Macaca fascicularis: one gene and its partner. The protein of the gene in region 1 purifies or fractionates together with the protein of each later gene. This does not show direct contact. Links are inferred from orthologs where the notes say so. Each region holds a gene or a part of one and is shown in the gene's direction. Other genes may lie near its edges.

Evidence for each region.
Region 2: the proteins of OCRL (region 1) and PHETA1 purify together in Homo sapiens (co-immunoprecipitation; 5 studies listed by BioGRID and IntAct, counting the BioPlex papers as one, with this or other methods). This does not show direct contact. The link is inferred for Macaca fascicularis from reciprocal best matches to the Homo sapiens genes OCRL and PHETA1.

The regions. Positions count from the first base shown.
Region 1 is NC_088395.1:135,844,006-135,847,817, forward strand, and holds part of OCRL (inositol polyphosphate 5-phosphatase OCRL), read left to right. Parts: intron 1-3,018; coding exon 3,019-3,129; intron 3,130-3,775; coding exon 3,776-3,812. UniProt on the Homo sapiens protein: Catalyzes the hydrolysis of the 5-position phosphate of phosphatidylinositol 4,5-bisphosphate (PtdIns(4,5)P2) and phosphatidylinositol-3,4,5-bisphosphate (PtdIns(3,4,5)P3), with the greatest catalytic activity towards PtdIns(4,5)P2.
Region 2 is NC_088385.1:118,251,683-118,255,956, reverse strand, and holds the start of PHETA1 (sesquipedalian-1), read left to right. Parts: upstream 1-1,289; 5' UTR 1,290-1,412; intron 1,413-3,849; 5' UTR 3,850-3,885; coding exon 3,886-4,274. UniProt on the Homo sapiens protein: Plays a role in endocytic trafficking. Required for receptor recycling from endosomes, both to the trans-Golgi network and the plasma membrane.

The DNA.
Region 1 (3,812 bases):
TTTAAATTCAAATTCCCTATGTGGCCAGTCACTATTGTACTGAACAGTGCAGTTCTAGACCTTTGTATATGCTTTTTTGTTCACCCATAGACAAAATACTGATTTGTGTGTGTCTCTATATCATAAACGGTCTCATATGTATGTGTTGGTCTACAACTTGATTTTTTTTTTTAAATCAGCAGTGTGTCTTGGAGAACCTCCCATCTTATTACATAAAGACCTAGCTCATTGTACTTTTTTTTCAAATTCCTAGTTTCGTCAGTAATTTCCTTTACTAAAATGGATGTGTCAGGTCGTGAATTCTTTGGGATTTTTCCCCACCTCATTATCCTTGATTTGCCATTAAGTGCTGTGATCATGATAACCTGCTGAGAAAAAGTTTGATTTTATTGAGTAATCACCCCATGTTTTGGATTCTTGGGCATGTTATGATTAGAGGCTTTAAAAACCACACTACATTTTCACCACCATTGGCACCAATGACTGTTAACAAAGGAGCCGAGTGCACCATGGCTAATTAATTTCAGAAGACTTTCTGTGGGCTGGCTGAGATAGAGCTGGGATAGGGTTCCAACCCTGCACTTGGTACTGTGATCTGTTGCATTGGTTCTCAGACTTCAGTGGATGTAAGAATTGCTTAGAGAGCTTTAAAAAAAGTGTGGATGCATGCGTCCCCACCCCTGGAGACTGTGATTAGTAGGCCCAGGCAGCTGTGCTTTTAAGACATACTCAAGTTGATTCTGCCACATATCTGGTATATTGGAAAGAGTCTTACACTAGTCCAGATATCACCTTTGGTATTAACTGTGGCAGTGAGCAAGTTTGTTGATTGTTGTGTATCTTAATGTTCTCAACTCTCAGAACAAAAATATTACTTGCTTTGGTAGCCTTCCAGGTTGTGAAAATTAAAAGACATGTGCAAAATACTTTTGGAAATTAAAAGTTGCAAAGTTTTGTAAAAGTATAAAATTCATCTTAACCTAATGCTATAGTATGGACCCTGGTGATGGTAAAATGATGTTTGATCCTCAGTTCTCTAAGAGTTACAGTTCAAATACGTGAAAAACTTCCCCAGTCTGAGATACTTGACTCAGCTTTGATGTTCTTATTTTCAACATTTTTAAAAATTTTTATTTTACTTTAAGTTATAGGATACAAGTACAGAACGTATAGGCTTGTTCCATAAGTATATGTGTGTCATGTTGGTTTGCTGCACCTAGCAACCCATCATCTAGGTTTTAAGCCCCACGTGCATTAGCTATTTAACCTTAATGCTCTCCCTCCCCTCGCCCCACTACCCCGAGTGGCCCAGTGTGTGTTGTTCCCCTCCCTGTGTCCATGTGTTCTCATTGTGCAGCTCCCACTTATGAGTGAGAATATGCAGTGTTTGGTTTTCTGTTCCTGTGTTAGTTTGCTAAGGATGATGGCTTCCAGCTTTATCCATGTCCCTGCAAAGGACTTTTTTTTATATTTTTTGAGATGGAGTCTTGCTCTGTTGCCCAGGCTGCAGTGTAGTGGTGCAATCTTGGCTGACTTCAACCTCCGCTTCCTGGGCTGAAGGGATTCTCCTGCCTCAGCCTCCCAGTAGCTGGGATTACAGGCACCCACCACCAGGCCTGGCTAATTTTTTTTTGTACTTTTAGTAGAGACAGAGTTTCACTGTCTTGGCCAGGCTGGTTTTGAACTCTTGACCTCTAGTGATCCTCCTGCCTCGGCCTCCCAAAGTGCTAGGATTACAGGTGTGAGCCACTGTGCCCAGCCTGAGCTCATTCCTTTTTATGGCTGTATAGTATTCCATGATGTATATTTGCCACATTTTCTTTATCAGGTCTTATTATGAATGGGCATTTGGGTTGGTTCTATGTTTTTGTTATTGTAAGTAGTGCTGCAGTAAACATACGTGTGCATGTGTCTTTATAGTAGAATGATTTATATTCTTTTGGGTATACACCCAGTAATGGGATTGCTGGGTCAAATGGTATTTGTGGTTCTAGATCCTTGAGGAATCGCCACACTGTCTTCCACAATGGCTGAACTAATTTACACTCCCACCAACAGTGTAAAAGCGTTCCTATTTCTCCACAGCCTCGCCAGCATCTGTTTCCACATCTTTTTAGAACCTTTGCTGCATGTGTCAATTTTTTTTGACACGGATTTTTGTGAAGTTTCCTAGTCTAAAAAAGAAACCGATATCTCAAGTTAAAATCTGTTAGTTATGTTAATTTTGGCATTGGTTTGTATGAAGTTTTAATATTTAAAAAAAACACGGCTATATCAGGAAGCTGAAAGTGCTGTGTCAGGTGGGAATTTTTTTATTAATCAGTCAAGATGTGTTTATCCGTTGTCATGGTTTTACTCTAGTCTAGGACATTTTGTTTCAGCCATTTTCTAAAATGGCTGTAGGCTCCATTTATTAATATATCTTTGCTATTATATAATCTGAGCAGTGATATTACACTTCTTGGTATTGTACATAGAATCTAATAGAGTTAAAAGCTTTTTAATCATATTTTCTCCCACCCCACCAAGTTATGATTGTTAGAAACAGTAATTGCTGTGTTTCGACACCGTCATTTTGTACAGTGCAAGCAATCATTTTTACCACAATCACATTTTTTCCACTACCAAATAACAATGAAGCAAGAAAATGTTCTTCCCAAATATTTATTATTGCCAAGCTTCTTAACATAGGAGTTTAACTTTTACAGGACGTTAGCCAATTAATCTTACCTTTACCTTAAAGCGTGTGCTTCTATAATGCTTTGTTCAATTTATGTTTGCTTTAGAGGCTCTTGGAGATATAAAAGTTGAGAGCATGTAAAACTAAAGCAAGGATCTGTTTTCTTTCAGGTGAAAGTTGTGGATGAAGCAAGATATGGAAAGTGTTTGAGGATGTTGTTTGCACCACAGTTTATTTTAAATGGTTGCTGTAATGACCAGTTTTAAATTGTTAGATAATCTCCAAGGCAGATGAGCTAGAAGCATATAAGACTGAAAAGAGGATACATTTTCTTTCAGGTGAAGGTTGTGGATGAACGAAGGTACCGTAAAGTCTTTGAAGATAGTGTACGCATCATGGACAGAATGGAAAATGACTTCCTTCCTTCCTTAGAACTCAGCAGGAGGGAGGTGAGCCAAAATACATGATCTCCCTGTCTGCTGCCCACTGTGGTTAGCACAGAAGAAACTGCTGCTTAGAAAAGGCAACATAGCACAGTAGTTAAGCCCATGTCGCTGGAGTCAGACTGCCTCCATTCCAGTCCTAGCACTGCTGTTTAGTAGATGCATGACCTCAGGCAAGTGTCTTACCCACTCAGAGCCGCAGTTTCCTTTTCTGGATTAAGGGGTAGTTGTAAGGATTACATGAGTTAATACATGCGAAGCTCTCAGAACAGCACCCGGGACATAGTAAGCCCTCCGTTGTTAGCTGCTCTTGTTTAATATTTCAGAGTTGCTAGTTAATTTATATCTCAGAAACCAGGACTTGGTCCCAGGATGAATACTCTGAACCAAGGTTGGGTTACCCTCTTAGGATCCTAGGAATGATCAGAGTAGCCTGGAGAAGTAGCAGGAGCCACCTAACTCCTTCTCTGCTGGTGTGAGTATAATAATACATGCAAGTGGATGGTGTGAAGTTGGTTCAGTTGGTGAATGTCTATGGCATTTGCACACCTGCTTAACAATTACCTTACTCCTCATATCCTCTATGGAATAATCCAACTGACTTACTTCCCCTACTAGTGATGCATGTTTGTGTCTGTCTGTTATTCCCCAGTTTGTGTTTGAAAATGTGAAGTTTCGGCAACTACAAA
Region 2 (4,274 bases), on another chromosome or scaffold:
CCACATCTGTGAATGTGGGGTGAGACCCCTTGTCATGGGGCCGTTGAGAAGTTTCAGAAGATACCTGCAGAATGAATCAAACAGCTATGTGAGCACCTACTGCATGCCTGGCACTGGAATTCACACCACAAACGCCCCAGCTTTCCTAGAGCAGGCAAAAATGACCCAGGTATTAATAATTTCAGGTGGAGGCACAGGAGAGGGACTGGAGGGCCTCTTATGCATAGGGTGGCCAGGGACCACCTCTCTGAGGAGGTGACAGCTAGGCTGAGACCAAAGGATGGGGAACTGGCCTTGTGAAGACCTGCAAGCAGACAGCCGGGACCAAGTCTTGGAGGTGGGGATGTATCTGGTGTATTTAAGGAACAGAAAGGAGGCCAGGATGGCTGGAGCTGAGTGAACAAGGGGGAAAGAGGTAGGAAAAGGGAACTTGGAAGCCATGGGAGGCTTGGACTGTTTTTTTTTTTTTTTTTTTTTTGAGGCAGGATCTCACTATGTCACCCAGGCTGGAGTGCAGTGGCATGATCACTCCCAAGTTCAAGGGGTCCTTCCATGTTAGCCTCCCAGACAGCTAGGACTAGAGGCTTGTGTCAACATGCCCAGCTATTTTTTTTTCTATTTTTTGTGGAGGTAGGGTCTTGCTGTGTTGTCCAGGCTGGTCTCTAACTCAAGCGATCCTCCGGCCTCAGCCTCCCAAAGTGCTAGCATTACAGGTGTGAGCCACCGCACCCTGCCTAAGGATTTAATTTTATGCTGAGAGAAGTAGGGAGCCATGGGAGGGTTTAGAGCAGAGGAGGAGTGTGATTGGACTTAATTTTCACAGGATCCCTCTGTGGGGAGTGGATTTCAGTGTGGCTCGGAGAAGAGCCTAGGAAGGAGGCTTGGATCTTACCTTAAGGAACATGGACGGGGGGGCAAGGAGACTTGTGTGGAGGCTACAGCAGCCGTTCCAGTGAATGGTGATGGGGCCTAGAATGGGGAGGTGGAGTGGACAGATTAGGCAACTGATTTGGAAGACGCTGGAGAGGCGGGATCAACTGGACTTGATATGTGATCAGATGTGGGGGTGAGAGGGAAACCAAGGGCCATTTGCTGAGATCAGAAGTATGACACGGGGACGTTTGGGGAAAAGCCAAGAAGAATGTGAACTGCAGCTGTGCTCAGCAGGCGTTGTGTGCCTGGCCCCGTGCTCCGCAAAGTCCGTGTAGTCACTGTATCATTGTCACAACAGCCCTGACTTAGGCACTGTTACGATCTCATTTTACAGATGCAGAAACGGAGGCCCAGAGAGGTTAATAGCCTGCCTGGGGTTCCCCAGCCCAGATGCTGCAGAGCTGACATTTGAATCCAGAGAAGAGCAAGCTGAGGCTGGAGCTGAACAGAGGGCAGGGAGGCGAGTGGTGGCCTGAGAGGTAGGAGCGAAATTGGGCAAGTGGGGCGGGAGGGTCCTGTGAGAACTGGGGCCAGCATCCACATGGGAGTTGATGGGTGGTGGTGTGGGGAATGCGTGAATCCCTGTGGCTTAGAGAGGGACAGCTGTATCTGAGAGGCAGGGTGGGGATTCAACACCTGGAGACTTTGGGGGCTCTGGCCTTGGCCCCCCACTAGGTCAGGACAGACTGACCTCAGTTTCTTTTTTTAAGTTCCGTGATACATGTGCAGAACATGCAGGTTTGTCACATAGGTATACGTGTGCCATGGTGGCCTGCTGCACCTATTGACCTGTTCTCTAAGTTCCCTCCCCTCACCCCCATCACCCAACAGGCCCCCGTGTGTGTTCTGCCCCTCCCTGTGTCCACGTGTTCTCATTGTTCAACTCCTACTTATGAGTAAGAACATGCGGTATTTGGTTTTCTGTTCCTGTGTTAATTTGCTGAGGATGATGGCTTCCAGCTTCATCTATTTCCCTGCAAAGGACATGATCTCATTCCTTTTTATGGCTGGATAGTTTTCCATGGTGTATATATACCACATTTTCTTTATACACTCTATCATTGATGGGCATTTTCTCAGTTTCTAAGTCACAATTCATGTTCCCTCTTCTAGGAAGCCTTCCCTGACTGCCTGTGTGGGTGACAGGAGGTGGCAAGGACAACCCCTTCCACCCTAGGTCAGGTAGTCCGACAGGGCCTCACTGCGGTCAGCTGCTCCTAGGAGAGCCACCACCCTGACCTCATTCCACCAGGCTCTGAGAAAGACGCCACCCAGGCAGGGCAATGAACACTGAGTGCCTACTGCGTACCAGGACTTTATATGCTTTGCCTCTTGAAAAATGTAGCTACCATCCTATGCAGGCTGAGGCTCTACAGTGGGAGATAAGGTGGGCTCTTAAAATGGCCGTGGAAAACCCCAAGGGAAGGTGGCCAGGCCAGGGACGCAGATGCCACCTCCCGATAAGTCCTTCCTGGCCAGCATTGCCCCATCGTATACTCCTTGGGGGAAAGTGAATGGGGTCACTGTGGCTGACGGCATGGAGTTAGAGTCCTCTATGCTAAATGGCATGGGACGCCCCCCTGCCCCTCCTTCCTGTAAGTCAGCCTAACCCTGGGTTTGCATGTTTGCCCAGATTCTTTCTTTTTTTTGAGATAGAGTCTGGCTCTGTCCCCAGGCAGGAGTGCAGTAGTGCGATCTCGGCTGACTGCAACTTCTGCCTCCTGGGTTCAAGCAGTTTTCCTGCCTCAGCCTCCCAGGTATCTGGGATTATAGGCACTCCCCACCAGGCCTGGCTTTTTTTTTTTTTTTTTTTTTTTTTTGAGATGGAGTCTTGCTCTGTTGCCCAGGGTGGAGTGCAATGGCGTGATCTCGGCTCACTGCAACCTCCGCCTCTTGGGTTCAAGCGATTCTTCTGCCTCAGTCTCCCAAATAGCTGGGATGTGCACCACTACACCTGGCTGTTATGGGTGTGCACCACTACACCTGGCTGTTTTTTTTTTATTTTTAGTAGAGATGGGGTTTTGCCATGTTGGCCAAGCTGGTCTTGAACTCCTGACCTCAGGTGAGAAGGATCGGCCTTGGCCTCCCAAAGCCCTAGGATTACAGGCGTGAGCTACTGCGCCCAGCCCCTGTCTTATTTTCCACAGGACATGAGACTACCTGGCAGACATCTTATCTGTTAACTGTCTGCTCCCTTTCACTTGCCAGTGGCATTTCAACACCACAAGGGCAGGGACCCTGTCCATCTTGTTTTTGCTCTATCCCTAGGCCTGGAACAGTGCCTGGCACACAGTAGATGCTTAATAAACATTCCATGAATGAAGTCAATCTCTACAAGTCTCTGAAGTTGGTTCCGCCCATATCCCTATTTCATGGACGGACAAACCAAGGTCGAACCACAGTCAGGGCTGGGACCTGGCAGGGACTGTGGAAGGCCAGCTGGTCTTGTTCTTGGGATGATGGAAACAGCAGCGTCTGAAATGAGGCCTGGGTTAGGATTTCAGCCCTGCCCAACCTGCTTTGTGACACCGGGGAAGCAGTTAACCTCTCTGTGCCTGTTTCCTCATCTGTTGAACCCAAGCCAGGCCAGTCCCTGTAACCTAAGGTCTATTGTGAGATCAAGTGAGTTCATCCCTCTGAAATGTCTGGCATGCGGCAGGAACTCACAACATTATTTCAGGGATACAGGAGGGCAGGAGGTTATGAGGCTGTCTGGGGAGGCTGGTGAGACCCAGGTTCCAGTCCTGTCTCTGCTCCTTAGGAGTTGTGGGCACATGGGCTGCCTGCTTCCACCCTGTGAGTGTCAGTTTCCTCATCTGTGAAACGGGGATGTAGAGTGGCCGCAAGGTCCCATCGGGGCACTGGGTGACCTAGCATCAGTGGCCTTGTGCGTAACAGCCCTTCCATGGGGTCCAGGCCCCGGGCTCCCCTCCAGGCCCGGCGATTGCCGCCATGAAGCTGAACGAGCGCAGCCTGGCCTTCTACGCCACCTGCGACGCCCCAGTGGACAACGCAGGCTTCCTGTACAAGAAGGGCGGGCGACACGCAGCCTACCACCGGCGCTGGTTCGTCCTGCGCGGGAACATGCTCTTCTACTTCGAGGATGCGGCCAGCCGCGAGCCTGTGGGCGTCATCATCCTGGAGGGCTGCACCGTGGAGCTGGTGGAGGCTGCGGAGGAGTTCGCCTTCGCCGTGCGCTTCGCGGGGACCCGGGCACGCACCTACGTGCTGGCCGCTGAGAGTCAGGCCGCCATGGAGGGTTGGGTCAAGGCCCTGTCGCGTGCCAGCTTCGACTACCTGCGGCTGGTGGTGCGTGAGCTGGAGCAGCAGCTGGCGGCTGT